Linked DNA regions of Oryctolagus cuniculus. The protein of the gene in region 1 interacts with the protein of each later gene in a pairwise test. Links are inferred from orthologs where the notes say so. Each region holds a gene or a part of one and is shown in the gene's direction. Other genes may lie near its edges. The genes, in order: NCK2, HOXC4, EIF3H, BCL11A, ABI2, RASSF7 and HOMEZ.

What was found.
Region 2: the proteins of NCK2 (region 1) and HOXC4 interact in binary tests that used the Homo sapiens proteins (3 or more experiments, as listed by UniProt). The two-hybrid records come from large-scale screens. The link is inferred for Oryctolagus cuniculus from reciprocal best matches to the Homo sapiens genes NCK2 and HOXC4.
Region 3: the proteins of NCK2 (region 1) and EIF3H interact in binary tests that used the Homo sapiens proteins (3 or more experiments, as listed by UniProt). The two-hybrid records come from large-scale screens. The link is inferred for Oryctolagus cuniculus from reciprocal best matches to the Homo sapiens genes NCK2 and EIF3H.
Region 4: the proteins of NCK2 (region 1) and BCL11A interact in binary tests that used the Homo sapiens proteins (3 or more experiments, as listed by UniProt). The two-hybrid records come from large-scale screens. The link is inferred for Oryctolagus cuniculus from reciprocal best matches to the Homo sapiens genes NCK2 and BCL11A.
Region 5: the proteins of NCK2 (region 1) and ABI2 interact in binary tests that used the Homo sapiens proteins (3 or more experiments, as listed by UniProt). The link is inferred for Oryctolagus cuniculus from reciprocal best matches to the Homo sapiens genes NCK2 and ABI2.
Region 6: the proteins of NCK2 (region 1) and RASSF7 interact in binary tests that used the Homo sapiens proteins (3 or more experiments, as listed by UniProt). The two-hybrid records come from large-scale screens. The link is inferred for Oryctolagus cuniculus from reciprocal best matches to the Homo sapiens genes NCK2 and RASSF7.
Region 7: the proteins of NCK2 (region 1) and HOMEZ interact in binary tests that used the Homo sapiens proteins (3 or more experiments, as listed by UniProt). The two-hybrid records come from large-scale screens. The link is inferred for Oryctolagus cuniculus from reciprocal best matches to the Homo sapiens genes NCK2 and HOMEZ.

What each region holds. Positions count from the first base shown.
Region 1 is NC_091433.1:102,853,616-102,857,725, reverse strand, and holds the start of NCK2 (cytoplasmic protein NCK2), read left to right. Parts: upstream 1-1,310; 5' UTR 1,311-1,601; intron 1,602-1,959; exon of another isoform or gene 1,960-2,231; intron 2,232-4,110. UniProt on the Homo sapiens protein: Adapter protein which associates with tyrosine-phosphorylated growth factor receptors or their cellular substrates. Maintains low levels of EIF2S1 phosphorylation by promoting its dephosphorylation by PP1.
Region 2 is NC_091442.1:57,015,260-57,018,158, forward strand, and holds the end of HOXC4 (homeobox protein Hox-C4), read left to right. Parts: 5' UTR 1-322; coding exon 323-761; intron 762-1,244; coding exon 1,245-1,600; 3' UTR 1,601-2,399; downstream 2,400-2,899. UniProt on the Homo sapiens protein: Sequence-specific transcription factor which is part of a developmental regulatory system that provides cells with specific positional identities on the anterior-posterior axis.
Region 3 is NC_091437.1:142,277,377-142,280,876, reverse strand, and holds part of EIF3H (eukaryotic translation initiation factor 3 subunit H), read left to right. Parts: intron 1-650; coding exon 651-818; intron 819-2,374; coding exon 2,375-2,474; intron 2,475-3,500.
Region 4 is NC_091433.1:142,200,592-142,204,091, forward strand, and holds part of BCL11A (B-cell lymphoma/leukemia 11A), read left to right. Parts: intron 1-1,831; coding exon 1,832-3,500. UniProt on the Homo sapiens protein: Transcription factor. Associated with the BAF SWI/SNF chromatin remodeling complex. Binds to the 5'-TGACCA-3' sequence motif in regulatory regions of target genes, including a distal promoter of the HBG1 hemoglobin subunit gamma-1 gene.
Region 5 is NC_091434.1:36,665,846-36,669,345, reverse strand, and holds part of ABI2 (abl interactor 2), read left to right. Parts: intron 1-3,028; coding exon 3,029-3,175; intron 3,176-3,500. UniProt on the Homo sapiens protein: Regulator of actin cytoskeleton dynamics underlying cell motility and adhesion. Functions as a component of the WAVE complex, which activates actin nucleating machinery Arp2/3 to drive lamellipodia formation.
Region 6 is NC_091432.1:215,385-219,407, forward strand, and holds RASSF7 (ras association domain-containing protein 7), read left to right. Parts: upstream 1-1,223; 5' UTR 1,224-1,235; coding exon 1,236-1,378; intron 1,379-1,648; exon of another isoform or gene 1,649-1,796; intron 1,797-2,021; coding exon 2,022-2,152; intron 2,153-2,253; coding exon 2,254-2,942; intron 2,943-3,051; coding exon 3,052-3,180; intron 3,181-3,254; coding exon 3,255-3,336; intron 3,337-3,420; coding exon 3,421-3,452; 3' UTR 3,453-3,711; downstream 3,712-4,023. Other genes in the region: LMNTD2 (lamin tail domain-containing protein 2), read right to left, coding at 1-93. UniProt on the Homo sapiens protein: Negatively regulates stress-induced JNK activation and apoptosis by promoting MAP2K7 phosphorylation and inhibiting its ability to activate JNK.
Region 7 is NC_091443.1:51,744,413-51,748,472, forward strand, and holds the start of HOMEZ (homeobox and leucine zipper protein Homez), read left to right. Parts: upstream 1-1,260; 5' UTR 1,261-1,295; coding exon 1,296-1,410; intron 1,411-4,060. UniProt on the Homo sapiens protein: May function as a transcriptional regulator.

The sequences.
Region 1 (4,110 bases):
ACCCTGGGAAGCTACAGATGATGGCTCTGGTGTTTGGGTTGCTGCCACCCACGTGGGAGGCCTGGATAGGATCCCAGTTCCTAGCCCAGCCCTGGCTGTTGCAAGCATCCGGGGAGTGGACCAGCAGATGGAGGCTATCTCTCTGTCCCTCTGCCTTTCAAACAAAAACTAAATAATTTCTTCTTAAAGTTCAGGCGGGTGGTTAACTAAAAAAAAAAAAGGACACATCAGACTAAAACCTTGATTGCTTTGGGAATCGAGGAAGGAAGACAACAGACCTCCTATAAGGAGAAAATATGGGCGGGCCAGAAGGCAATAGGACCAAAATCAATCATCTAAGATCAATGGAAAGATGATGGAGTTTCAGGAGGTAGAAATGCCACGTGCTTCAGCAGACCCTGTAGGATTAAGGTTTAGAGAGTGGCATCAGTGAGTTTTTCAAAGAATCAGAGGAGGAAGAGGAGAACCATGACTGAGATTTTACAAAGCAAACAAGGGTCAATATTGCTCTACGTATTTGGAGTAAGCCCATTGAAATTTGGGCCGACTATGGACTAAAATTCTGCTTTCCTCACTCCTAAGATGAGACTTGCACTAAAGGATGAGCTTTGGTAGCTTCTTTCCCAGAGTCAAACAGGAGGCTGTCCTGAGTCCCAGATCTTGAACTTGATCTCTGCTCAAGGTAGTGTACCTCCTTCCACATACTGAGCTATTCAAGGGTGACCTGTCGCCAAGGCGTGTCCCTGGTACTGTTGGAGGTAGGTAGATATTATCTCCCCATTTCACAGACTTGAGAAAAGTCAAGAAATCCCTGTGTGAGGTTACACAGGTCAGAAGTCCACAGTCCAGCAGGCCACTGATGACGGAGCTCCGGGGACTCTACTTACCCATTCTTGGGTGCTTTGGGGGAGGGAGTCAATCAAAGAATGTTGCCTTGCCTCCTTGGGTGAAACATTACTGTTTTCCTGAAGATCAGAAGCCAGGAGCCAAAGAAAGCATCTCACTGACACGGATGCAGGCGATCCCACCAGGGCTTTGGAATCCTTGGAACATTAGGGTTTCCTCTGGGAAACCACGGGGAGAAGGAGTTTGGAGAAAAGACATCTGGACGCATCCGGAAGGGGAGCTCTCCGGTCTCTGCCTCTGCTCTCGGGTTTCCAGCTTCCAAGTTTGTTTACTGGGCCACACAACTCCAGGCGGGGTGAGGCTGGGTGAGCCGGTCGGGCCCACCCCTCACGGTACCCGCAGGGGCCCAGGGGCAGGCGGCTCCTGATTGGGCTCTGCTCCCGGGGCTGTGCAACCCGACTCCCGGCGGCTGGAGCGGGCTTGCGTGCCTGGGAGGCATCAGAGGTCGGAGTTCCGCTCCTCCCCTTAGGAAGCGCCTCCGCCAGGGACGAATGGACTAAAAACGTGTCTGGTTGGGAAAGTAAATAGACGCAAGCCAAATAAAAATAAAAATGCCCGCAAGCAATCACAGGGAGGAAGTGACATTTTGCTGGAAGTCACTTTTCTGATGGACCACAGGCCTGCTGCGCTGAGCGCGCCGTGGGAATGCTTCCGGGAGGGGGGGGCGCGGTCTCCTCTCCAACTCGCGCGTGGCGGTAAGAGAATTAAACAAACAACAAAAAGAGCACGCGAAGCCCACCCGGCCGGCCTCCGGGGCTGGAAGTTAATGCCTGCATTTTTACGGTCGTCCCCACCCCGCCCCCGCAAGTGCGGGCGCGGGGACCTAGCCTAGCGCTCGGCGCCCCGCAGGGCCCCGCGGCGCCCCGCAGCGCAGCGTTCTCCAGCCCCGGGCTAAGCCGGGCGCGTTCCGGGGCCGGGCCGCGGAGCTCGGCGGAGCCCGGGGGCGCCCCCAGGTGGGTGTCGGGCCCCCGCCCCGTGCGCGCGCGGGGCCTGGGCCGGCCCCTGGGCGGCGTCACGGCGCGGCCGGGGAGGAGCGCGGGCGGACGAGGAAGAGAGCGGAGGAGGCGGGCGTTGCGCGCCGGGGGAGGGTCGCCGCCGCCGCCGCCTCCGCCGCCGCCTCCGGGAGCTTCAGGCCGGAGCCGCGCGGCCGAACGGGCGGCGAGCGGCGGGGAGGCTCGCGGCGCCCAGGCCGGCGGGGTCCGCCCGGCGGCAAGACGCGGGAGCGGCGCAGACAAAGAGCGGCGCTTGGGCGGGCGCAGCGCGGCCGCCGCCGCCCCGGGACCCGCGCCGCTGCCCTCCGGCCTCGGTGGGCGGCCCGTGGCGAGGTAAGTGTGTGCGCCGCAAACTTGGGGGCCCATTCGGCGGAGTTGGAAGCGCGGCGGGGCCCGCGGGCCGGGACGCGCCCAGGGAGGGGCTGGGGGAGTGGGGCCCCTCCGCGCTCCGCCGGTGCCCTCGCCCCCGCTGCGGCCTGGGCGCCCTCCCCACCGGCTGTGGACTGCTCGGCACCTCCAGGCTCCGCACCTTCCTGCCCGCCTTCCGGGCCCCCCACCCTACCCCCAGAGGCCGGCTTGGGGGCAGGGGCGCCCTCCAAGGGCGCGCGGGCGAGGAGCTGGGCAGGGGCCGGGCGGCGGGGCCCGGGGACTGGACACCTCCGGTGCGCAGGGAGTGCCCGGCCTGCGGGACGGACGGCGGCAGGCACGGGGCCGGGGCCGGGGTCGGCGTGGGACCGAGCGGCGGCCGCGGTCGCCGGGGGAGGAATCTCCGGGTCGCAGGGACGCGGGGGGTCACGATGCACCCGGAGAACTTAACTGTGTGTTGATTGCAACTATTTCTGATCCCACACAAAGCTGCTGTCACGTCGCGTAAGGGAGGGTCGACGGCCCGGCGCTGGGCGCTTTTGTGCGGGTTTCAGGGTCTGCGCCCTGCCGCGGATTTTCAGGGCACCCTTGGAGCCAGCCACTTGTACCAAAGTTTCTCCCGGTCGCTCTGCGTTCCGGGCGATGGAACCGCCAGGGGGTCCTGGAAAAACGTCCTGTGTGACTCTGAAAGCATCCACGACGGCTGCCGCGTGGGCGCCGTGTGGGCTTCGCATTGTGTGGGATAACGCTGTACTTTGTGGACAATGCCGATCGCCTGGGACCGGCTGTGGGCGGAGGCTGGGGGGTCACTGGCTGGTGGCCAGCAGGCACCTGGCTAAGTCAGCCTCCTCAGGACAAAGCAGGGGCGGGGGTGGCAGTGCCTCCCTTATTTGGCCAACAGGTTTGAGGCTTTGTGCCAAGTTTGCATGGGCATCATGGGGTGAGTGGGCCCCAGTCGCGTCCGGAAGGGCCTACACCATTACCCAGGCCTGCTCCTTGCACTGACCCAGGGAGAGACCGAACCCAGGGGGAGGGGCTGGTGGGCGTGGCTTTCTGGGGACCCACAGGTAGGGAGTCCCTTCCTGGCCCGCCCCAGTCCTGGCAGTTCGGGAAGGGTTTTTGTGTAGCCGTGAGAACCAATCGGGGGCTGTGTTTCCTGCTGCTGTTTTTGATTAAGTTACCTACAGAGTTATTTTTTTCCCCCAAGTCTTGAAAGTGGCGGAAAATGAAATTAACCCGGGCTGCCTTAACTTATCAAACCAGATCTGAGCTGTGCCTCAGAACACGCCCTTAGTGCACTCACCACCTGTGCCCAGATAAAGGCTCCCAGCGTGTGTGTGGTTTATGTGAAGAGTGGCAGGCAGAGAGCACCGGGGCCGAGGTCCAGGAGGGGGGGTGCAGGTGCATGGATGTTCGCAGGAGGGCTTTCCTGAGGAGGGGCGGTCTCCCCGCTTGAGAAGAAGTGACCACAGGGGCAGGTCCTGCCTGAGTAGCTCTCTCCTTGACACGAGGAGAGTGGCAGGGTCTTGGTGGCCTTGTGGTGGCCACCGGAGGGTGAGATGGCAGCTTTAGGCAGTGCTGGGTTTGCTCCTCTGGGTTCAGGGAGTCTCAGCTGCTGTGTAAACACTGCCAGCGGTCCTGACAGGCGGGTGAAACTGACTTGGCAAAATTGGCTGCATTGTAATCTTCTTGGCCCAGTTGAGAGAAACTGACCCTTTGTAAATAGAGGCATGGGTGGAAGGTGCATTTCCAGTAGCTTGGTCAGTTTTCAGGCTTTGAGTAACATGCTGGGGACTTAAACCTTCATTGCAGGCTGTTGGACCCTTGTCATGTTCTCAACCTCTGC
Region 2 (2,899 bases), on another chromosome or scaffold:
GGCTGTGGAGCTGGAGCCGCGAGCAGGAAGAGACTGCCAGTCTGGAGGGGTGTGTGTGCTGGGGGGGGGGCATCCCAGCCTCTGCCAGCTAACCCCACATCACTGCCCCCCCCCAAGCAGCACCACCACCACACACACAAAAAATTGGATACATTTTGAATAAAGCGATTCGGTTCCTTATCCGGGGACTGGGTTGCTCCGTGTGATTGGCCGGCGGAGTCACATGGTGAAAGTAACTTTACAGGGTCGCTAGCTAGTAGGAGGGCTTTATGGAGCAGAAAAACGACAAAGCGAGAAAAATTATTTTCCACTCCAGAAATTAATGATCATGAGCTCGTATTTGATGGACTCTAACTACATCGATCCGAAATTTCCTCCATGCGAAGAATATTCGCAAAATAGCTACATCCCTGAACACAGTCCGGAATATTACGGCCGGACCAGGGAATCGGGATTCCAGCATCACCACCAGGAGCTGTACCCACCACCGCCTCCGCGCCCCAGCTACCCCGAGCGCCAGTATAGCTGCACCAGTCTCCAGGGGCCGGGCAATTCGCGAGGCCACGGGCCGGCCCAGGCGGGCCACCACCACCCCGAGAAATCGCAGCCGCTCTGTGAGCCGGCGCCTCTCTCGGGCGCCTCCGCCTCCCCGTCCCCAGCCCCGCCAGCCTGCAGCCAGCCAGCCCCCGACCACCCCTCCAGCGCCGCCAGCAAACAGCCCATAGTCTACCCATGGATGAAGAAAATCCACGTGAGCACGGGTAGGCAACTTTGCGCTTTGCTCCCCCCCCCTTCCCCGGCGCTCCCCACCCTCCCCGGCCCCCTCCGGCCCCGTCCTCTTTTCTCTCCTTCCCCCTCTCTCTCCAGGAGCGACTCTGGGTTAGCACAATTGAACTGGATTTACGAGCGAGAATGGGTAATTACATCCCCCATAAATTTTATGGCTTAGCTACTCTGGGCAGTCCGAGCCATGTGCTACGATCTGTTATGTATGTGTGAAAACTATGCTCGCTTTCTAAGGGCGCATAAATAATTCAGTGTCGTTACAATGAGGATTCCCCTCTTATTACACTACAAAGTCGCCAGCTTCCTTCAACTTCTTTATAACCCATTTAGCTTGATGACTTCATTTCCACCGCTCCCGCCTCCTGTTCCTCAGAGCTGAGGATGGGGTGAGGGTGGGGGCTGGGGAGCCTGCCGCCTCTGAACCCCACTCTCTGCTTTTCCCCTCCCCTCCCCCCCAGTGAACCCCAATTATAACGGAGGGGAACCCAAGCGCTCGAGGACAGCCTACACGCGGCAGCAAGTCCTGGAATTAGAGAAAGAGTTTCATTACAACCGCTACCTGACCCGGAGGAGAAGGATCGAGATCGCCCACTCGCTGTGCCTCTCCGAGCGGCAGATCAAGATCTGGTTCCAAAACCGCCGCATGAAATGGAAGAAGGACCACCGCCTCCCCAACACCAAAGTCAGGTCAGCGCCCCCGGCCGGCGCCGCGCCCAGCGCCCTGTCGGCAGCCACCCCGGGCCCTTCTGAGGACCACTCCCAGAGCGCCACGCCGCCGGAGCAGCCGCGGGCAGAGGACATTACCAGGTTATAAAACGGCGCTCACACCCCTGCCCCCACCCCGGGCCCCCACCTCCCCTCACACACAAACTGACTCTTATTTATAGAATTTAATATATATATATATTTTGGTTCTTTTCTCGCTTCCTCCCACCTTGTCCCTTGTCAATTCCAAACAGACAAAAACAGATAAACACTCTCTCTGCCCTGTTCCCTTCCACTGTCAAGCATGTAATGTTGTCTTTAGCATGGTACCTGCTGGGTTTTTTTTTTTTTAAGGCCATTGATTGGGGGGGTATTTATTTTTTAAGGAGAAAAAAAAGCTGCAAAAATTATATATTGCAAGTGCGACGGTCTGGTTTGGGTGAATTTCAGGGGAAATGAGGAAAAGAAAAAAGGAAAAAGAGAGAGAGATTTTTAAGCCAATTCTCACCCTTCTCCTCCTTCCCCCCACTTTCCTTAGGCCTTTTGCATTGAAAATGCACCAGGGAGGTTAGTGAGGGGGAAGTCATTTTAAGGAGAACAAAGCTATGAAGTTCTTTTGTATTATTGTGGGGGGGTGGGAGGAGGGGGGAGAGACGACAGACAAAGCTGAAATGCATCTGAGGAGCCTCTCTGAGCTGCTCAGTTCCAGAGGCCAAAAGGAAAACCAAGATGAACTTTCAGTTCAGAGAGAGGGTCTGTAGGTAGGATCGCCCCCCACCCCCGTCGTGGTCGTTGTGTTTTTTGGACTGAATTTACTTGATTATTGTAAAACTTGCAATAAAGAATTTTAGTGTCGATGTGAAATGCCCCGTGATCGATAATAAACCAGTGGATGTGAATTAGTTTTACGGCAATGTCTGATGGTTTCTTTTTGTGCCCCTCCTCCTCCTCCTCTTCCTCCTTCTGGCCTGGTGCTGCCCCACCTCCTCCAGAGTTGCCTGAGTTTACTCTGAGCAAACACACAAATCTGAACTCCCAACTGTAGTCTCCCGGGTGTCCTTAGAAGCAGCAGCAAGGGGTTTTTGGGGGTAAGGGAGGTCTTGGGAGGAGAGAGGATGGGGAGGATTAAGGCTTCCCCCCTCCCCCGTCTGCGGGGAGGCCAGACCCCCTCTGGGGTACTGTCGGTGGAACTGGGGGTCCTCACTTTTCTATATTAGCCTCTGTCCTTTCTTTTTGTCTTCACTGTCCTCCCTGGGCTCTGCTGAGTGGGCCCTGCCTGATGTGCAGAGGAGTTTGGAGCCTCCAGGGCTCCTGGGGGTGAGGGCTGGGGGAGCCGGCCCCCTCCCCGACATTCCCCATCTCTTAGAAGAAGAAAGGTTTGGAGCTGGTGATTCTGAAGCAGCCAAGT
Region 3 (3,500 bases), on another chromosome or scaffold:
TGTGACCCTATTCTAATGAAAAAATGGTGTCTATTACTTAACACAAAGGATAATTTGTACTAGAAAAAAGATGTCTTTTTAAAATGTAGTATATGCAGCAGGGGGCACCAGATGAAGGCAAAAATGAATGCTTATATTTTAAATCAGCTGCAGCCTGTATCCAGTTCATAATAAGTAATGTCATAGCTGATTGTTTTCCCCTTAGTTTTCATGATGATTTTTTTCAGTTCTAAGAACTGTATTGAATAGATTGATAACTATTCTTACTTATATTCCAACTGAAATTTCTTAGAATCAACCAGTTCAATAACTGCATAGGTTTTCTCCTACATATTTAGGGTTTTTAAAGTTTTAAAAAGGAAAGTGGAAACCACATTTAATAAATAACTTTCTTGTTTAGAACAAGACATTAGTACTGTGCTTTTAATATTTTTTCTACAAAATGTTTTTTCATTAAAGAAAAAAGGAAAGGCTCAGTAATTTGAAAGCTTGGGAATGACTTTTCAATCTGGAAAGCTTTTCCTTATAGCTAATAAATAGTTTTATAAAAATTTGTTTCCAAAAAGGCTTGTTTTTAATGTTGGTGGCATCATTAAGGTTTTTTTTTTTTTTTTTTTCCCCTTTTACTTCCCCTTCTTCCCGTCATCCAGTCCAGTATCAGATGGAAATGATGCGGAGCCTTCGCCATGTAAACATTGATCACCTCCACGTGGGCTGGTACCAGTCCACATACTATGGTTCATTCGTCACCCGGGCTCTCCTGGATTCTCAGTTCAGTTACCAGCATGCCATTGAAGAATCTGTTGTTCTCATTTACGGTTAGTAGGAGATTCCTTTATTAGTATTTTCTTCTCTTAATACTTCACTATTATTACTACTATTTTTGCTTTCTGCCTTTTTTTTTTTTTTTTTTTTGCCTCTGAGAGCAGCCTGGCAGGCCTTCTCAAGTAAATACCAAGCCTGTTTCTGCAGCAGCCTCAGCAGCAGCTCAGTCTAGACAGGGTTTCCTTCTTTCTGTTTATTTTTCTTGCTATCAGAGCCCTGATGTGTACATTTTGGAATGCTGGAGTAGCTGCTTCATTTTTATTCCTCCATCTCCCCTCCCTCATTGAAGGGGCTGGTGGAACTAGACCAGATGTCTAACAAACCCCGATTGCTGCAGTGTCTGGCTCCGTACGTGACTGACCAATCATAACACAGTGTGCCAAGTTTTTTTTTTTTAATACCTCTGACAGCAGCGTACAAAACCTGGACTGTTTCTTAGCACAAAGATTTTTTTCTTTTCGGCCTTTTTAATGGTGTTTCCTCAAGCTCTCCAGACCAGATGTTCTGTGCTGTATCAGAACTGTAGGCAATTTAACAGCTTTATAGCCTTCCCCCTCCCCAAACACTCACAGTTTGCCATATCTGGCAGACTTGCATATAGTTTCCAGCTGAGAAGTAAATGTAACGTCCTGAGTATCTGTCAGAAAAAATACTAATGAATACGATCAATCTTATGAGCTGCCCCAAAATTGTTTCAGTATGTTAACAATTGGATTACAGTAAAGAACAAGTTGTTAAAGTGTACTTATATTGGCTGGAAACATTGCATCATCAGACCTTGATGAATTTTCCACTTGTTTCAATCTATTTTGGTTTTCATTTTATCACCTATTGCTAAAAGTTTCACTGTGTTAAATTTCAGACAACATGAATGTTAACACAGGTTTTAGGCGAATATTGGCATGGCAGAGCCGTTATCATGCTCCAAGTGCTAAGCTCCCTTACCCGTGGAGTGTTTAAGCAGTTAGTTTTGACAAAATTTGTTTCTCTAAAACTTAAAAAACAACAACAACAACAACAACAACAACAAAAACACTTATGTGATGGCATTCCGACTTAGTGGTTATGTTTTTAGAATCTGCTTTAATTAAGAAATGTGAACAGTGATTATTAGGGTGGATAAAGTTTGTTTGCATTTTAAATTAGTTGACTGAAGAACACAGTACATGAAGCAAATTTTCAGGTTTAATACTCATCAGTATTTTCTTCCTAATTATACAAGATGCATAGAGCTTGATAATTAAGTTTTCAATAAGCTGACTGGTTTTAGCTGAGGAGTGAATTTGAAAATATCAAGTCTATTTTGAATCTTTTTTTTTTTTAATGGGAGGAAGTTATTCTACCTATTACAAGGATATAAAGATTTCCTAGATTTTTGCCTATTGTTTGCTGTATTGGTTTCAGTCTACTTCAAGTTGTGTTCTGATTAATCATTTTGATCTTCATTTTGCAAGATTCGTATAAGTAACACCGAGCCTAGAATCAGTGTCATGTGAGCACGAGTAGTAGCAAAATTCTTAGAATTTCGTTCTCTTTTTTGTTATTCAAGATCCCATAAAAACTGCCCAAGGGTCCCTGTCACTAAAGGCATACAGACTGACTCCCAAGCTGATGGAAGTTTGTAAAGAGAAGGATTTTTCCCCTGAAGCGTAAGTGTTTGGGGACTAGGAGGTTTATGGTGAAGAATTGGGTATTTCTTTAAAGACTTTAGTTTGCCACATTTATTGAATCCTCTGTTGTGGAGTGGTAATGCTTTTGCCATGTGTACTGTACAAGTTTCCTGCATGCCAAATATCACTTGATTTCTCCCTTTCCATGTTTAAATTGTTCTTTATGGAATGTCTCGTCTGTTGTTCTCACCAAGAGTGAATTCAGTTAGAGTAGGAATTAATTAGCTACCAGATTTGAAGAAATGAATGATTGAATAAAGGGAGATGGAAGGAGTGGGCAGCACTTGTCAGATTGTAAGCTCTGTGTCTTCTTTTCTGGGATCCTGTTTCATGGGGTTGGAGGGAGATTTAAACATTTGAAGGATTCATTAGGGAATGTAGCTCATTGGAAATTTTGTCAGTGACACATATGCAGAGGATTAACTGATGGGGCTGTTTTGGTGATGCTGTTTAATGGCATTTGAATATTTACTTTTCTAAAAATTTTAAATATTTAGAATATGCTAATTTTTATTTATTAAATCGAAGTGTGTGGCTTTGTGTGTCCTACTTATAAGGCTTTCATTTCCAATTTCTCATTTGGCCCCTAAAAAGAATTAAGGTGCTTAGAATTAAAAAAGAAAAGCTAACTTATGACTGACCAATGGCTAGATGTGATAGAACTCATTGTGAGAACTTACGTTCTTCTGGGTTTTGAACCGTTGTATGTGGAGTCTCCTGTGAGTGATCTGCTAGTTGTTAATTGTTTTTAAGTCAGGAGGCTTTTAAAATGAACTTGAAAGAAATATTGTATTACTTTTTTCTAGCTATGTATTTTAAATATTTTAGACATAGATTGTGTAGCATAACTTATAACTTATTGTGACAAGTACATTTTAGTATTAGTGACATTTTAAAGGTACATGATTACAAAGAATGAATAGATTCTTTTGCCAAGATTCTTATTTTCTGGACTTACAGTTTAAATTCAGGTCATTTTCAGAGATACTCAAATCACTTACTTTT
Region 4 (3,500 bases), about 39 Mb from region 1:
GGTCAATTTTGTCCTCTTGAAAAAAGTTGCTGACGAATACTAGCTGTGAGCTTAAGGAAAGCCTTCTAGCCCTGCTTGGAGAAGAGGCAGAGAAGTTTATTTCTTTTTCTTTTTCTTTTTTTTTCTTTTTGACAGGCAGAGTGGACAGTGAGAGAGAGACAGAGAGAAAGGTCTTCCTTTACCGTTGGTTCACCCCCCAATGGCAGCTGCGGCCAACACACTGCAGCCAGCGCACCGCGCTGATCCTATGGCAGGCGCCAGGTGCTTCTCCTGGTCTCCCATGCAGGTGCAGGGCCCAAGCACTTGGGCCATCCTCCACTGCCCTCCCGGGCCACAGCAGAGAGCTGGCCTGGAAGAGGGGAAACCAGGACAGAATCCAGTGCCCCGACCCGGTATGCTGCAAGGCGGAGGATTAGCCTATTGAGCCGCGGCGCCGGCCGAGAAGTTTATTTCTTAGTTATTATTATTCTAAGCACTGTTGTTTTGGGGATCACTGGGACGTTATCTGTTTTTCTCATCCTTATCCTTTGGCCACCATCACTTTGGCGCTTTTTAATGCTGCAGCTGCCTGGTGAACTGTTGGTTAGTCACCCTCATGGGCTATCTAGCTATATATATTTAAATTTAGCTATCGCCAAAAATGAATGATTTTGTGAAGTCAAGCCGACCCCTCTTTGCCAAAGTGGCATTTACCACTCTGGGGTTCTTTTCAGCAAGAGAGAAATAATGTGACTTAAGCAGGGCCCCTCTCCAGACAGCTTGGCTACTGGCCAACGAGTTGACTAGCTGAACTGTAGCTTTCTGTTTCTTTCTCAACTGGAGTTGAGTCTCAGCCGAGGGCGCAGGATGTTGTATAATTTGGTTCACGTTGTTAGCCTCTCAAAATAATGAGGAGGAGGCTGGTGTAGCATTTCTCAGCCTGCTGCCTGTCATGGTGCTGGCTGCTGAAAACTGTGCCTTCAACTAGGATGCCATGTCTACTGAGGTTGGCACCAGGCGCTCCCCCTAACTTCTCTAGACTTTGTAGTTACTGCACAAGGGCGATGGCTCCTGGAGATGTGATACAGCCTATCAGTGAGCCCTGAATTAATTAATACTTTCCTTCTGAGATTTTTACAACTTCCCTTGAGATAAAAATGGTTGTCTTTGTGGGGTGCTGTGGAGCCAAAACTGACGCTGACTCTCCCTCTCTCACACAGACACACATGGGCTGGGATGTGAGAAAGTGGCGAGTTTCTCAGAGAAGTCTCCCCGAACACCATATTTAATCTAATCAACACTTGCTGTGTTTCGGGCTAGGACGCAAAGCATCGCTAGGGGCATGGGGAATTGTACTGAGTTGAGTCGCCCATCTCCGTTTTGATATCTGGGAAAGCATTGCCTGTTTAGGAAGTTTGCCTGCTCCCCCAGGGGGTACAGAACACGGGGATTTAGGAAGCACAGGGCTTGGCTTGCCTTGTCCAGGTCCCTCCTTTAACAGAGCAGGAGATGAAATGGCTGGCCCCGAGCTGCAGCAGGTGAGACTGGAAGCTTCAGAAGAGAGTTGAGTGTGGAGATCCTCCTCCTCAAGCTAGAATTCTACTTTGGGGATTGGAGATGAAATCCTTTAGAATGGAGCTCCTTGGCCGGAAGAAGCCATGTTGGACAGATAATCATAGGGCACCAGGCACTATGCAGCCATCCCAGGGTTGGGGGGCGGTGGGTGGACCGTGGGGTTGGGCCGGGGGGTGGGGGCGGGGGCAGGAAAGGCTGGAAGCGGAACATAAATAAGCAATTGCTGATGCCCGCCTCGGTGATTAAACATTGATGTTGGTGTTGTATTATTTTGCAGGTAAAGATGAGCCCAGCAGCTACACATGTACAACTTGCAAACAGCCATTCACCAGTGCATGGTTTCTCTTGCAACACGCACAGAACACTCATGGATTAAGAATCTACTTAGAAAGCGAACACGGAAGTCCCCTGACCCCGCGGGTTGGTATCCCTTCAGGACTAGGTGCAGAATGTCCTTCCCAGCCACCTCTCCATGGGATTCATATTGCAGACAATAACCCCTTTAACCTGCTCAGAATACCAGGATCAGTATCCAGAGAGGCTTCCGGCCTGGCAGAAGGGCGCTTTCCACCCACTCCCCCCCTGTTTAGTCCGCCACCGAGACATCACTTGGACCCCCACCGCATAGAGCGCCTGGGGGCGGAAGAGATGGCCCTGGCCACCCATCACCCGAGTGCCTTTGACAGGGTGCTGCGGTTGAATCCGATGGCTATGGAGCCTCCCGCCATGGATTTCTCTAGGAGACTTAGAGAGCTGGCAGGGAACACGTCTAGCCCACCGCTGTCCCCAGGCCGGCCCAGCCCTATGCAAAGGTTACTGCAACCATTCCAGCCAGGTAGCAAGCCGCCCTTCCTGGCGACGCCCCCCCTCCCTCCTCTGCAGTCCGCCCCTCCTCCCTCCCAGCCCCCGGTCAAGTCCAAGTCCTGCGAGTTCTGCGGCAAGACGTTCAAATTTCAGAGCAACCTGGTGGTGCACCGGCGCAGCCACACGGGCGAGAAGCCCTACAAGTGCAACCTGTGCGACCACGCGTGCACGCAGGCCAGCAAGCTAAAGCGCCACATGAAGACGCACATGCACAAGTCGTCCCCCATGACGGTCAAGTCGGACGACGGCCTCTCCACCGCCAGCTCCCCGGAACCCGGCACCAGCGACCTGGTGGGCAGCGCCAGCAGCGCGCTCAAGTCCGTGGTGGCCAAGTTCAAGAGCGAGAACGACCCCAACCTGATCCCAGAGAACGGGGACGAGGAGGAAGAGGAGGACGACGAGGAAGAGGAAGAAGAGGAGGAAGAGGAGGAGGAGGAGCTGACGGAGAGCGAGAGGGTGGACTACGGCTTCGGGCTGAGCCTGGAGGCGGCGCGCCACCACGAGAACAGCTCGCGCGGCGCGGTCGTGGGCGTGGGCGACGAGGGCCGCGCCCTGCCCGACGTCATGCAGGGCATGGTGCTCAGCTCCATGCAGCACTTCAGCGAGGCCTTCCACCAGGTCCTGGGCGAGAAGCATAAGCGCGGCCACCTGGCCGAGGCCGAGGGCCACAGGGACACTTGCGACGAAGACTCGGTGGCCGGCGAGTCGGACCGCATAGACGATGGCACTGTTAATGGCCGCGGCTGCTCCCCGGGCGAGTCGGCCTCGGGGGGCCTGTCCAAAAAGCTGCTGCTGGGCAGCCCCAGCTCGCTGAGCCCCTTCTCCAAGCGCATCAAGCTCGAGAAGGAGTTCGACCTGCCCCCGGCCGCCATGCCCAACACGGAGAACGTGTACTCGCAGTGGCTGGCCGGCTACGCGGCCTCCAGGCAGCTCAAAGATCCCTTCCTCAGCTTCGGAGACTCCCGACAATCGCCTTTTGCCTCCTCGTCGGAGCACTCCTCGGAGAACGGGAGCTTGCGCTTCTCCACGCCGCCCGGGGAGCTGGACGGAGGGATCTCGGGGCGCAGCGGCACGGGAAGTGG
Region 5 (3,500 bases), on another chromosome or scaffold:
GATTTCACCTAATGTTGTGTTAAAAGCTAAGCAGAGCCTGTATTTAAATTATTTTTGAGTATTTGAAGAGAGAATGTTTCCTTCCTAGAATTGATTATATTATGGGTATAATTTTCCCTTTTCCTGGACAATACACATTTATACATCAGAAATATTTTGTTTAGAAATTATTTTTCTAATACAGTTCAAATTGGGGGTAAAATCCTAGTCCAAGGTAATGGTTTATTATAAATTGCAGTCTAATTTTTAATTTCCGTTTTTTTCCAGAAAATTTTTGCGGTCTTTCTTATTGCAGTTGAACTTAGACTGTCTTTCTCAAGAAGGTTGTATAGATGATAAAGTTCTGTCTAACATGTTATGAGAATCTTGAGCTGTAGTTTGCTCCTACAGATTTAGGCTCTGGATTTGACTTTTGCAAGCAGAAATGGTCAATTAATGGAAAAGCCTGACATTCTTCCATGGCCTCACACTGTAAACATGGTTTATCTTGATCGAGATTTGTATTTGCTTGGGCATAATGTAGCCCAGAAGCCAGAGGAGTGCACCTGTGGGCTGGTTCTGCAGCTTATTGTGTGTTCCTGCCTGCTCAGCCTCTAAACAGTTCAGTTTTTTCATCTGTAAAAGGGGGTAATATTTGTCCTTTATAAACTTTTCAGGGTCACTGTACCACAATTTGGATTTTTAAAAAAATGTATAAAACAAAGACAATATGTTTTGAATACCATTGGCTATAGGATATATGGCAAACAAATTTTAATTGACAATCGTTTTTTGGCCCCCTCACCAAAAAAAAACAACCAAAAAACACAAAGTACAAAAACAAGATAAACAACAAAACCGAAAATCCAGTCAAGCACTGTGGCACTGTGGGTCAGGACAGGATAAAGATGATTGGGATATAAGGGAGGATAATGTTGGGGGAGGAAGTATAGTTAAGACAGTGAAAGACAAAAGAATAAAAGAATAAAAATTATTTCCAGTCAGGAATAGGACGGCTTTATTTGAGATAGACAAAAAATTTTTCTTCTTTGATTAGAAAGGAATTAATCTAATGGACCAAACTTGAGGGTAGCATGCAAGTGAGATGTTCACGCACAGTGGGACAGGGATGAGGGTACAGTGATCAAGAGGAACTGTTCATTCATGTAGAACATTTACATTCCTATCACATATATGGCCTAGAGGGTTTTAGTAGGTATTAAATCAGCAGGATAACCTGCTGCATGTCCAAGAAGAAAGTTTTGTACTCTGATATTTTGAAGATTTACTCAGGCATCAGTATTTGTTTTCTTCGTGTAACAGCATTGGTCGTGTCGCATCTTTGTAGACTGTAGGGTTGCTGAGCCACGTGGCCGTTAGATGGTCGGAGCCTGCTTTTTGGGCATAGTCTTTGTCTAGTCACCGTGTTTGTTCTTCTGCCTTGGTGGTGGTGGTGGTGGTGGTGGTGTTCTTGTTGGTTTTTGTACCTTAATTGTATCATTGCTTCCACTCTGTAGTTCTCAGTCAGTAAAGGTTTTCTTCTTGAAGAAAACAGCATTTTTATTGTCTGGGAAAAATTACCTAAAAATCATGTCTCTGGAAGTTGCTCAGTTTTCTGCTTAGTCATTTATATTTGCATTAAAATTTCAGAAATGTTTGACATTCTTTTCAGTATTTTAAACCCAAACTCCTGACATTTCTTTTTTTTTCTTTTGGCCCAATATTCCATCAAGTGCACCATATTTATTTTTAATTATTTATATGTATATATTTATGCAAGGAGAATCTGCAGCTCTCAGATTCAGCAGGGTTGTTGCAAAATTATCTCATTCAAAATCAATTAGCCATCATTTAAGGGCCCAGGAGAACAGTGTTTAAAAGCACTCTTGGAGCCTTTTGATAAATGAATTATTGAGAAAAATACGTAAGTCATTTGAGTAGCATTATTTCAGGAAAACAAAACTTTAATTTTCAAACCTTGAGATGCCAGTTTTAATTTTTTTAAAAAAAAGACGAGTCTCATCTGTAAGATGTCAGCTTTTTAAAATTTTTAAAAGATTTATGTATTTATTTGAGAGGTTTGAGAGGTAGAGTTACAGAAAGGGGGAGTGACAGAGAGAAAGGTCTTCCATCTGCTGGTTCACTCCCCAAATGGCCGCAACTGGGGAGCTGGGCTGATCTAAAGCCAGGAGCCAGGAGATTTTTCTGGGTGTGCCACGTGGGTGCCAGGGACCCAAGCACTTGGGTCATCTTCTACTACTTTCCCAGGCCATAAGCAGGGAGCTGGAATGGAAGAAGGGCAGCCAAGATACAAACCGGAGCCCATATGGAATGCTGGTGCTGCAGGCAGTGGCCTTACCCACTATGCCACAGTGCTGGCCGCTCTGGTGGTCTTGTTAAAATTTTTTTTTTCTCTACCACTTGTAAATGTTGAACTCTGAGGTTGAGAAGAGGAAAGGGATATCAAGGTGTAAGTTGAGGGGAAAAAGTGAGGTTGTGAGTGTGGAAGATGAGATTAAATTGTGTGTTTTGTGTACACATATACTTTAATGTATTTAGTATCTAGAAAGGGAAATGAGTTGTTGTGGGTGGTATCGATAGGCAGTATGGGGGTTATGGATTCAAAACTCGAGGCTTGTGGTCCCCCTGTTAGGTTACCCTAGGTGAGGGAGGGAGGGGAGAACGATAGTAGGAACATTCATGCAATGCAGCTGGGAGACGGTGACATACTACAATAATCTCTTCTAAGAGTTGGGTCTAGGACACATTGGCATACATGGTGGAGAACCTTGTGTTCTCAGAAAAGTAAATGAACAAAATTGCATTAGCACAGGGAAATGAGGTTGGAGATGGCAAATTAACAATACGTGCTCACCAGAACCCTAATGATGGAGAAGTAAATCTTTAGGAAAGACTGCAATTGGTAGCTGGGTTATGTTAAAAGACATTTCCTCTCTCATTTTCCAATTGTATTGCACTACTGGCAGCTCTGAGTTTATTGTGCCGAAACTTGCTTAATCACACACTACATACGCTCTTCTTTTTGTAGGCGGCACTCCCCCTATCGCACACTGGAGCCAGTGCGTCCTCCAGTGGTACCAAATGATTACGTACCTAGCCCAACCCGTAATATGGCTCCCTCGCAGCAGAGCCCTGTGAGGACAGCTTCTGTGAATCAAAGAAATCGAACTTACAGGTATTTTCTCTACCTCAGCGCAAAATGTGATGGTCATAGTACCATGATCCGGTTAGCTAACCTCGATTCAGTCTCTCTCATTTTCTACGCGCTCAGTTCTTTTCCTCACTCTATTCTCCCAAACCTCATCTGATTCCACCTCTCTCTCCTCATGTTCTGATGCCACTTTGAACAGTCAGGAAGCCGAATACAAGCAGAGACAAATCCAAGTGCAAATTGCTCTATGAGGTTATTAGTTTAATTGATCTGCAAAAAAAATTATGGACCAAATGTGGGAAATTTCTAGTTGTTTTTTGGTGGAACTTTACAGATGAAAAACTATACA
Region 6 (4,023 bases), on another chromosome or scaffold:
CCCCGGGTCACCACCGAGTGGCTCCCCATCTGCCAGGGGCAGGGGAGCCCCCTCCCCAGCTTCTTCAGACAGCAGGCCAGACTTGGGGGCCATTCTCGGTGTTCTCGGGGGGCCGGGAGGGGTGGCTGGCCAAGCGTTCCCTGTGTCCGGTGCGTGGGCTCCTGCTGGGCCATCCGTGGGTGTCAGCAAGGCCCCAGCAGCACTGCTGAGGGGCCCCATGTGCACCTGTCCACCCCCCAGGACACCAGACCACCATCCCATGGGCACCCACCCTGACTGCCACCCACCAGGGGTAAAATGGCCCCCGCAGGGCACACACCCCCTTGTCTCTGTCCCCAAGTGCTGGCTGGTGTCCCCACCCCAGTCCAGGGCCCCAGCCCCAACACTGACCCGAGGCCTGAGCGCCCAGCAGGCCTAGGGAAGGAAGGGCTCTCTGGTTGCCGTGGATACTGGCACCACAAGTGGGTGGGGCTGTTTGTTACCAGGCACCTCCAGAGAGAACCCCCCCAGACCAGGGCTCAGCTGGAGGAGGTGCGCCCAGCCAGCCCTAGCCTGGTGCTGGTGAGGGAGTTCTGGGGGCGCCGGGCCCTGGGAGGACTGGGACAGAGAGCCAGGTGTGGAGAGAAACTAGGGCAGCCGCCGGCAGTGTACACCCCGGCACCCAGCGCCTGGTGCTCCCCTAACCGTGGGAGTGACCGCGACAGGGTTCCCGTGCGCCAGGGAACACACCGCAGCCCCACCCAGGCCAGGGGCAGGCGGGACGAGCCTGGGGTGGCACAGGCTCCGCGTGCCACCCTGGCTGCCCGGCTGCCCCCGCGGAGGGGCTCCGGGCCCGCGCCCGGGCGCGCAGGCCAAGCTGTCCGCAGGGCCCCGCCGGGGTCACAGCCCCAGCCTTCGTCCCCCGCCGCCCTGCGGGGCGCCCCCGACCCCGGGCGACCCGGCGACAGTCGCCGCGGGTCCTGAAGGAGAAGGCTGGGCGGGGGGGGGGGCGTCCCGCTGGACGGCGGCGAGGAAGTCGGCCCGGAGCCGGCACGCACCTGCCCCGCAGCGCCGCAGCGGCAGACGCTCTTCCGCGTTGTTCGCCGGCGGGAGCGGCCGGGCCTCGCCTCCCGCCGGGCCCCGCCCACACCTGGGCGCCGCGGGGGGCGTGGCGGGCGGAGAGCCAATGGGGCGGGGCGGGGCGGAGTCAGCCAATGGCCGCGGGCGCGGGGCGGGATGCACGCTGTGAGGAGCTAATGAGGGCGCGGCGGGGCGGGACGTGTGGGCCGTGGGCCAATGGGGTCGTGGAGCCGGGGCGCGCCGCGGCGCTGGGGGCGGCAAGTGGCGGCGGCGCCGAAGCGCCCCAGCGCCGGAGTCGCGGAGGCCGGCGACCGCCCAGGTGAGCTGCGCGGCTGCTCGGGCCTCGCCGGGCGCGAGGCGCGGCCGGGGCACCGACTCCGGCCGAGGAGAGTTTTGCGCGGAGCGGGGATGGGAGGGCGCGCGGGGGCCGCGCCGCACCTGCACCCTCCCGCTGCTCGGCGGGGCAGGGAGGCCGAGGTGCGGCCCGCGGGGAGCGCGGTGCGCGCGGTGCGCGCGGTGCGCGCGGTGCGCGCGGTGCGCGCGGGAGACGGAGCCCGGACCCCCCAGCCAACGCACCGAAGGGCCGGGCGCGGGGGAGGGGGCTGCCCGGGCCTGGAGTCGGGTCGGTCCAGAGGGTCCGGAGCGCCCAGGGCCGCGGGGGCGTCGCGGGCGCCCGTGGGTGCCCGGAGACCGCCGCCCTCGCTGCTGCCCGGGAGGGGCAGCGTCCTCTGAGCCAGGTGACTGGTGGGGGGGGCAGGAAATCCTGGATCTGGTTAATGATTCGCTTGGTTCCTGGAGTGGGGGCGGGGCACGGGGCGGCTGGCGCGGGGCGGGGACGCCTCCAAGTGCCCACCGGGGGAGGGCAGGACTGACCCTAAGGGCGGCAGCCCCGAGCCAGTTCCGGGGGGCAGACTGGGAGGAGAGGGCGTCCCTGCTGACCGGCGACCTGTACCTCCCCTCAGGACAGGGATGCTCTTGGGGCCGGCGGCCATGGAGCTGAAAGTCTGGGTGGACGGCGTCCAGAGGGTGGTCTGTGGGGTCTCAGAGCAGACCACCTGCCAGGAAGTGGTCATCGCACTAGCCCAGGCAATAGGTGAGTCTTTGGGGGCACAAAGGGTCTCAGGGTGCCCACCCTCTGGCCGGCCGGGTAGACGGGGCGGGGCCGTGGCTGACCCTGTGCCATTTCCCCTTTAGGCCAGACGGGCCGCTTCGTGCTGGTCCAGCGACTCAGGGAGAAGGAGCGGCAGCTGCTGCCACAGGAGTGTCCAGTGGGTGCGCAGGCCACCTGTGGACAGTTTGCCAACGACGTGCAGTTTGTGTTAAGGCGGACAGGGCCCAGCCTGGCTGGGAGGCCCTCCTCAGACAGCTGCCCACCCCCAGAGCGATGTCCAGTCCGTGCCAGCCTTCCCCCAAAGCCACGGGGAGCACCCAGCTGTGAACCCCGGAGAGCACTGACCCTCAGCCCGCAGGGCCCCAGGCCGTCCCTCGGCCCCGCGGCCCCCACGCCAGAGTGCGGCACGGACCTGCAGGGCCTGGAGCTCAGGGTGCAGAGGAACGCCGAGGAGCTCGGCCACAAGGCCTTCTGGGAACAGGAGCTGCGGCGGGAGCAGGCCCGGGAGCGGGAAGGGCAGGCCCGCCTGCAGGCCCTGAGCGCAGCCACCGCGGAGCACGCCGCCCGGCTGCAGGCTCTGGATGCCCAGGCCCGCGCCCTGGAGGCCGAGCTGCAGCTGGTGGCAGAGGCCCCCGGGCCCCCCTCAGCCGCGGCGTCGGCCGCCGAGCGCCTGCGCCAGGACCTGGCGGCTCAGGAGCGGCACAGCGTGGAGGTGCAGGGCAGCCTGGCCCTGGTGCACCGGGCCCTGGAGGCCGCCGAGCACGCCCTGCAGGTGAGCCCAGGACCCCAGCCCCAGCACCACCTCACCCGTGACGCAGGGTCTGGCTGGGGGGAGGGCCCTCCGCAGGGCAGGGCCCTCTGAGGGTCCCTCGTGCCCCCAGGCCCAGGCCCAGGAGCTGGAGGAGCTGAACCGGGAGCTCCGGCAGTGCAACCTGCAGCAGTTCATCCAGCAGACGGGGGCCGCGCTGCCACCCCCCCCGCGGCCAGAGGGGGCCTCCCTCGGCACACAGGTCAGCGTGGTTCTGGGTGGCGCCCGGGAGGCTGGAGACCCAGCCCAGCTCCAAGCTGGCCATGTTTCCGACAGGACCTTCCGCCTCCAGCCACAGAGGAGTCCCTCCTGGGAGTCCCCCGGAGTCCTCTTCTGGTCCCCAGCCTGAGCCCTGAGGGTATGTGCCCCGCCCCCCGCCCCTGCCCTGGCGGGACAAGGCCCTGCTCTGGCCTCGGCCTCACCAGCCCTGTCCTCCCCACAGTGACCCCGCTGAGGCAGAACTCCTGGAGGTAGCAGGAGCGGCACCTGCAGGCCACCCAGCCCCCGGCTCCGACGGCAGACTAGCAGATGAGCCACAGCTGCCTGGACCAGGCGGCAGGAGCGTGGGCACCCGCGGGGCGGGGGTGCCGAGGAGGACCACCCTAACCCTTGCCAGGAGCGTGGAACATGGCCCGAACTCACGTGTGCGCGTGAGTACGTGGCGAGGATGGCGTGTGCCACCCCCAGACTCCAACTTGAGAACCTCAATAAACGCCCGAGTGGCTTCACTGTGTGCCGAGGTGTGTGGAGGACGCTCTCTAGGGGCCGTGGAGCTCCTGCGGGGGGGCCTGGGAGACCGCTGCTGGGTCTGCGGTGGTCCCACGTTCTTGCTCTGTCCGGGCCTTCCCATTGCGAGACCTGCTGACCCTGTCCTGGGTTTCTCTCCCACCCAGCCTGCACCCCGCTAGCACCAGGAAGTGACAGCAGGACGAGCCAGACCCGCCTGTCAGGTTTACTGTGTCTCCCAGAGGCCTCGTGGGGGCGGGCCCAGGGCTCCCGGGAGCTGCCACTGGGGAGCTTTGCCAGCCCCAGGGAGGGGGTGGGC
Region 7 (4,060 bases), on another chromosome or scaffold:
CTTCCTTCCTTCCTTCCTTCCTTCCTTCCTTCCTTCCTTCCTTCCTTGAGAGACAGCTCCTGTCCATTGGTTCACTCCTCAAATCTCCACAATAGCCAAGGTTGGCCCAGGCTGAAGCCAGGAACTGAGAACCTAATCCAGGTCTCCCACATGGAGGGTGAGGACCTAGCTACTTGAGCCATCCACTGCTGTTTCCCACAGTGCTCATTAGCTGGAATCTGGAGCAAAGCCAGGACCTGAACCTAGCACTCCAGTATGGGATGTGGTCGTCCCAAGCAGCGTCGACCACTAAGACAAATGCTAGCCTGGTCATTTCCTAAAAGTCCTGCTCCGGGGCTGCTGGCATATCGCAGCAGGTTAATCTACTGCCTGTGATGCCATCATCCCCTATGAGCACCAGTCTGAGTCCCGCCTACTCCACTTCTAATCCAGGTCCCTGCTAATACACCTGGGAAAGCAGCCAAAGATGGCCCAAATGTTTGGGTCTGTGCCACCCCCATGGAAGACTTGGATGGAGTTCCAGATTCCTGTCTAGTCTGGGCCAGCCCAGGCCATTGAAGCCATTTGGAGAGTGAACCAGCAGATGGAAGATCTCTCTCTCTTTTTTTTCTCTTCTCTGTGTAACTCTGCTTTTCAAATAAATAAATCTTAAAAAGTCCTATTCCTTTTCTGCTGGAGTCCTCTGGCTGTTTGGAAGTTGCATGGAAGAAGACCACGGGAGAGATGGGCAGCCATGGTTTAAGACACCACAACAGGATCCCTCCACCCTTTTGGGTAGTGGGAGCATAGTCAGGGCCTGGCTCTTCAGTTCCCTGGCACCCAGCACCAGCTGTTGGTGTTGTTAAAGGAACAGTCTGGGAAAACTGTTTCTGCTTTTCACAGGGGATTCTTCCTCTTTTAGGGGGTCATCTCGTTACTTTCTGCTCTTGAGTAGTGGAGGGAAGAACAATGCCCTTCCCTAATAAGGGGTTACCCTAAAACAAAGGGTAAGACAGCTAACGGAGGGGAAAGGAAGGCAAGACCTCTGTGGAATCCAGAATGGAGGGATAGAAATAGATAACAGAGGGAGTCCTTGAAAGAGCAAGTTCTCACAGGATTGGCTCCCACATCACCTGAGTGATGAGAGAATCCAATTACCACAAAGTAATGAGGTGACAGCATTCCTAGGAGGCAAGCCCCAAGCACGGAATGCCTGATAGCTCCTCCTTACATCACAAAGGCCGACCTGTGACGTCATCGCTGCCCAGCCCACCGCTCTTCAGTGTGCTCTAAGAGTGCTGAAGGGCAGGGTCAGCATGAGGAGCAAACACCCACGGAGAGGTAAGGCGGGGCTTTCCAGGGCTTCTCTCCACGGCTTCCTGCCTGGAGTCGGAGCCCCAAGCCCTGCACAGACTCCTCACGTCTTCTGGGGTAGGTTTGAGCTCCTCCTGCCACAAACTCCTTCCGCGTTAACTTTCGCTCTCCCAACTCTGTCTCCAAGCCTCAGTACTCGCAGGTCTGAGTAGTCGGCCGCCTCACTGCCTGCGGCTCTGGTCTTTCTAGGAGACAGGGCACGAGCACTGGAGCAGAGTTCCCCTAAGGAGGCAGAGACTCACCATGGCCATCTGGTAGTCCTAGGCTGGAGCCAGGCTTCTGGGTACCTGAAGTATGCAACTTTTGGAGCCCCTTTAAGAAAATTAAATACAAAATTATGATATTTTCAGAATGACAAATTACAATTTTTTAAAAAGCTGCCAAATATCTGCCTAAAATTATTCATATTTCCACTTTTTTTGCCAACAGCCTTTGATAGCCTTTTCGTATAATGATTGTATGTTTTCTATGAGTCTTCTAACATGATCACTTTTGTATTGTTAATTTTAAAAAATTTTGCCCCCATGCCTTGTGATACTTTCATAAATGTTTAGAATTTTTGTCAAACTTGGTAAAACCACTATAAAATTTTGGAGCTTTTCGAATTTGTAATGGCTAATGTCATATATTCTGAATTGATAGTATCAAGAATAATGGGAACTAGCCGGCGCCGCAGCTCACTAGGCTAATCCTCCGCCTGTGGCACCGGCACACTGGGTTCTAGTCCTGGTCAGGGCGCCGGATTCTGTCCCGGTTGCCCCTCTTCCAGGCCAGCTCTCTGCTGTGGCCAGGGAGTGCAATGGAGGATGGCCCAAGTGCTTGGGCCCTGCACCCCATGGGAGACCAGGAGAAGCACCTGGCTCCTGGCTTTGGATCAGCGTGGTGCGCCGGCCGCAGCGGCCACTGGAGGGTGAACCAACGGCAAAAGGAAGACCTTTCTCTCTGTCTCTCTCTCACTGTCCACTCTGCCTGTCAAAAAAAAAAAAAAAAAAAAAAAGAATAATGGGAACTATAAATATTAGTTTGGGGGCAGGCACATTTGTAGCACAGTGCTTAGGATGCTGCTTGGGGCACCTGCAACTTGTATGGGAGTGCTTGGTTCAAGTCCTGACTCTGCTTCCAATACAACTTCTCACTGATGCACACTCTGGGTAGCAGCAGTGGTGGTTCAGGTGCTTGGATCCTTGCCACCCACATGGGAAACCTGGATTGAGTTCTGTGCTCCTGGTCTCAGCTTGATCTCTGCCTTTCAAATAAAAAATGGAAATAAACATACAGGCAGGCATTTGGCTCAGAAGTTAAGTCAGCAGCCGAGACACTCCCGTCTTGCATCAGAGTGCTTGTTTGGAGTCCCAGCTCCTCTAGGCTCCTCCATCCCTGATCCAGCTTCCTGCTAATGCACACACTAGGAGGCAGCGGGTGATGGCTCAAGTCCTTGGTTGCCTGCCAGCCTAGATTGAGTTCTGGGCTCCCGGCTTTGGCCTAGCCCAGTGCTGGCTATTGAGGCATTTCAGGAGTGTTCCAGCAGAGGGAAGATCTCTCTTTCTGACTTTCAAATAAAATGGCAGTAAATACACATTTTTAAAACATATAAGTAATTTAATTTTTCAGGGCTGCCATACAAAAATAGCAGAGACTGGGTGTGTGCTAAATTTGTTTTCTCAGTCCTGGAGACTAGAGGTCCAAGACAAGGGCACTGGCTGAGCTGACTGCATCCTGAGGCTTCTGTCCTTGATTGTAGAAGGCTGTCTGCTCATGGTCTTCCCTCTGCCTGTGCATCACAAGTCTGTGCCCAGATTTCCTCGTGGAAGGTCAGCAGTCACACTGTGTTAGGACCCACCCTAATTCATCCATCTCAGCTGAACTTAATCACCTCGAGAAACAACCTAACTCCACACGAAGCTACGTTCTGAGGTACTGGGGGACAGGACATTAACCCTAAGTTTGGGAGGACACAGTTTAATCCATAACACTGTATCCACCTGGGGATAATTGATTCTATTCACAGAAGTAACTGCAAAACCCATCAAGTATACCTACTAACCCCACAGTACACGTGATCCCTCCTCAGCTCCCTCAGCCAGTCTCCAAGTGCCCATCACCTCTCTGTGGACACCTGAGAAAGGGACATGTGACAGAGGTCAAGTCAAGAAGGAGATACCAGTCAATTCCAGTTTGGGGTGTTTTTTTTTTCCCCAAGTTTTAGAAAAACCTGTGACGATGTTGGCGTGTTGCTGCAGCTCCTCCAGTGGTGAAGGTCTGTGACAGGGAGGACGCTGCACCTGCAGGGCCTCCAGCTGTAGGGCGAGCGTGCCTCTGGTCAGCCCTGCTAATGTCTGAGCCGTGCAAAGGGCAGATGACAGGCATCACATTCTCCAGTGTTAGTCCCTGGAAGGGCTGGCAGGGGACTGTCCTGCAAAACATGGGACTCTCACCATCAGCCGAGGCTTCTCCCCCTCACCCCGGCCCACCCCAGTCCACTCCACATTCACCAGTGGTGAGGGACCTTTTTTTTCTGCCAAGAGCCATTTGGAGATATATATATACACACACACATATACATGTATACATATATACATATATATATATATAAACATCATTTGTGGGCCATGCAAAAGTACCAACTTAAAAATTAGCCTGCGGGCCGGCGCCGCAGCTTACTAGGCTAATCCTCCGCCTTGCAGCGCTGGCACACCAGGTTCTAGTC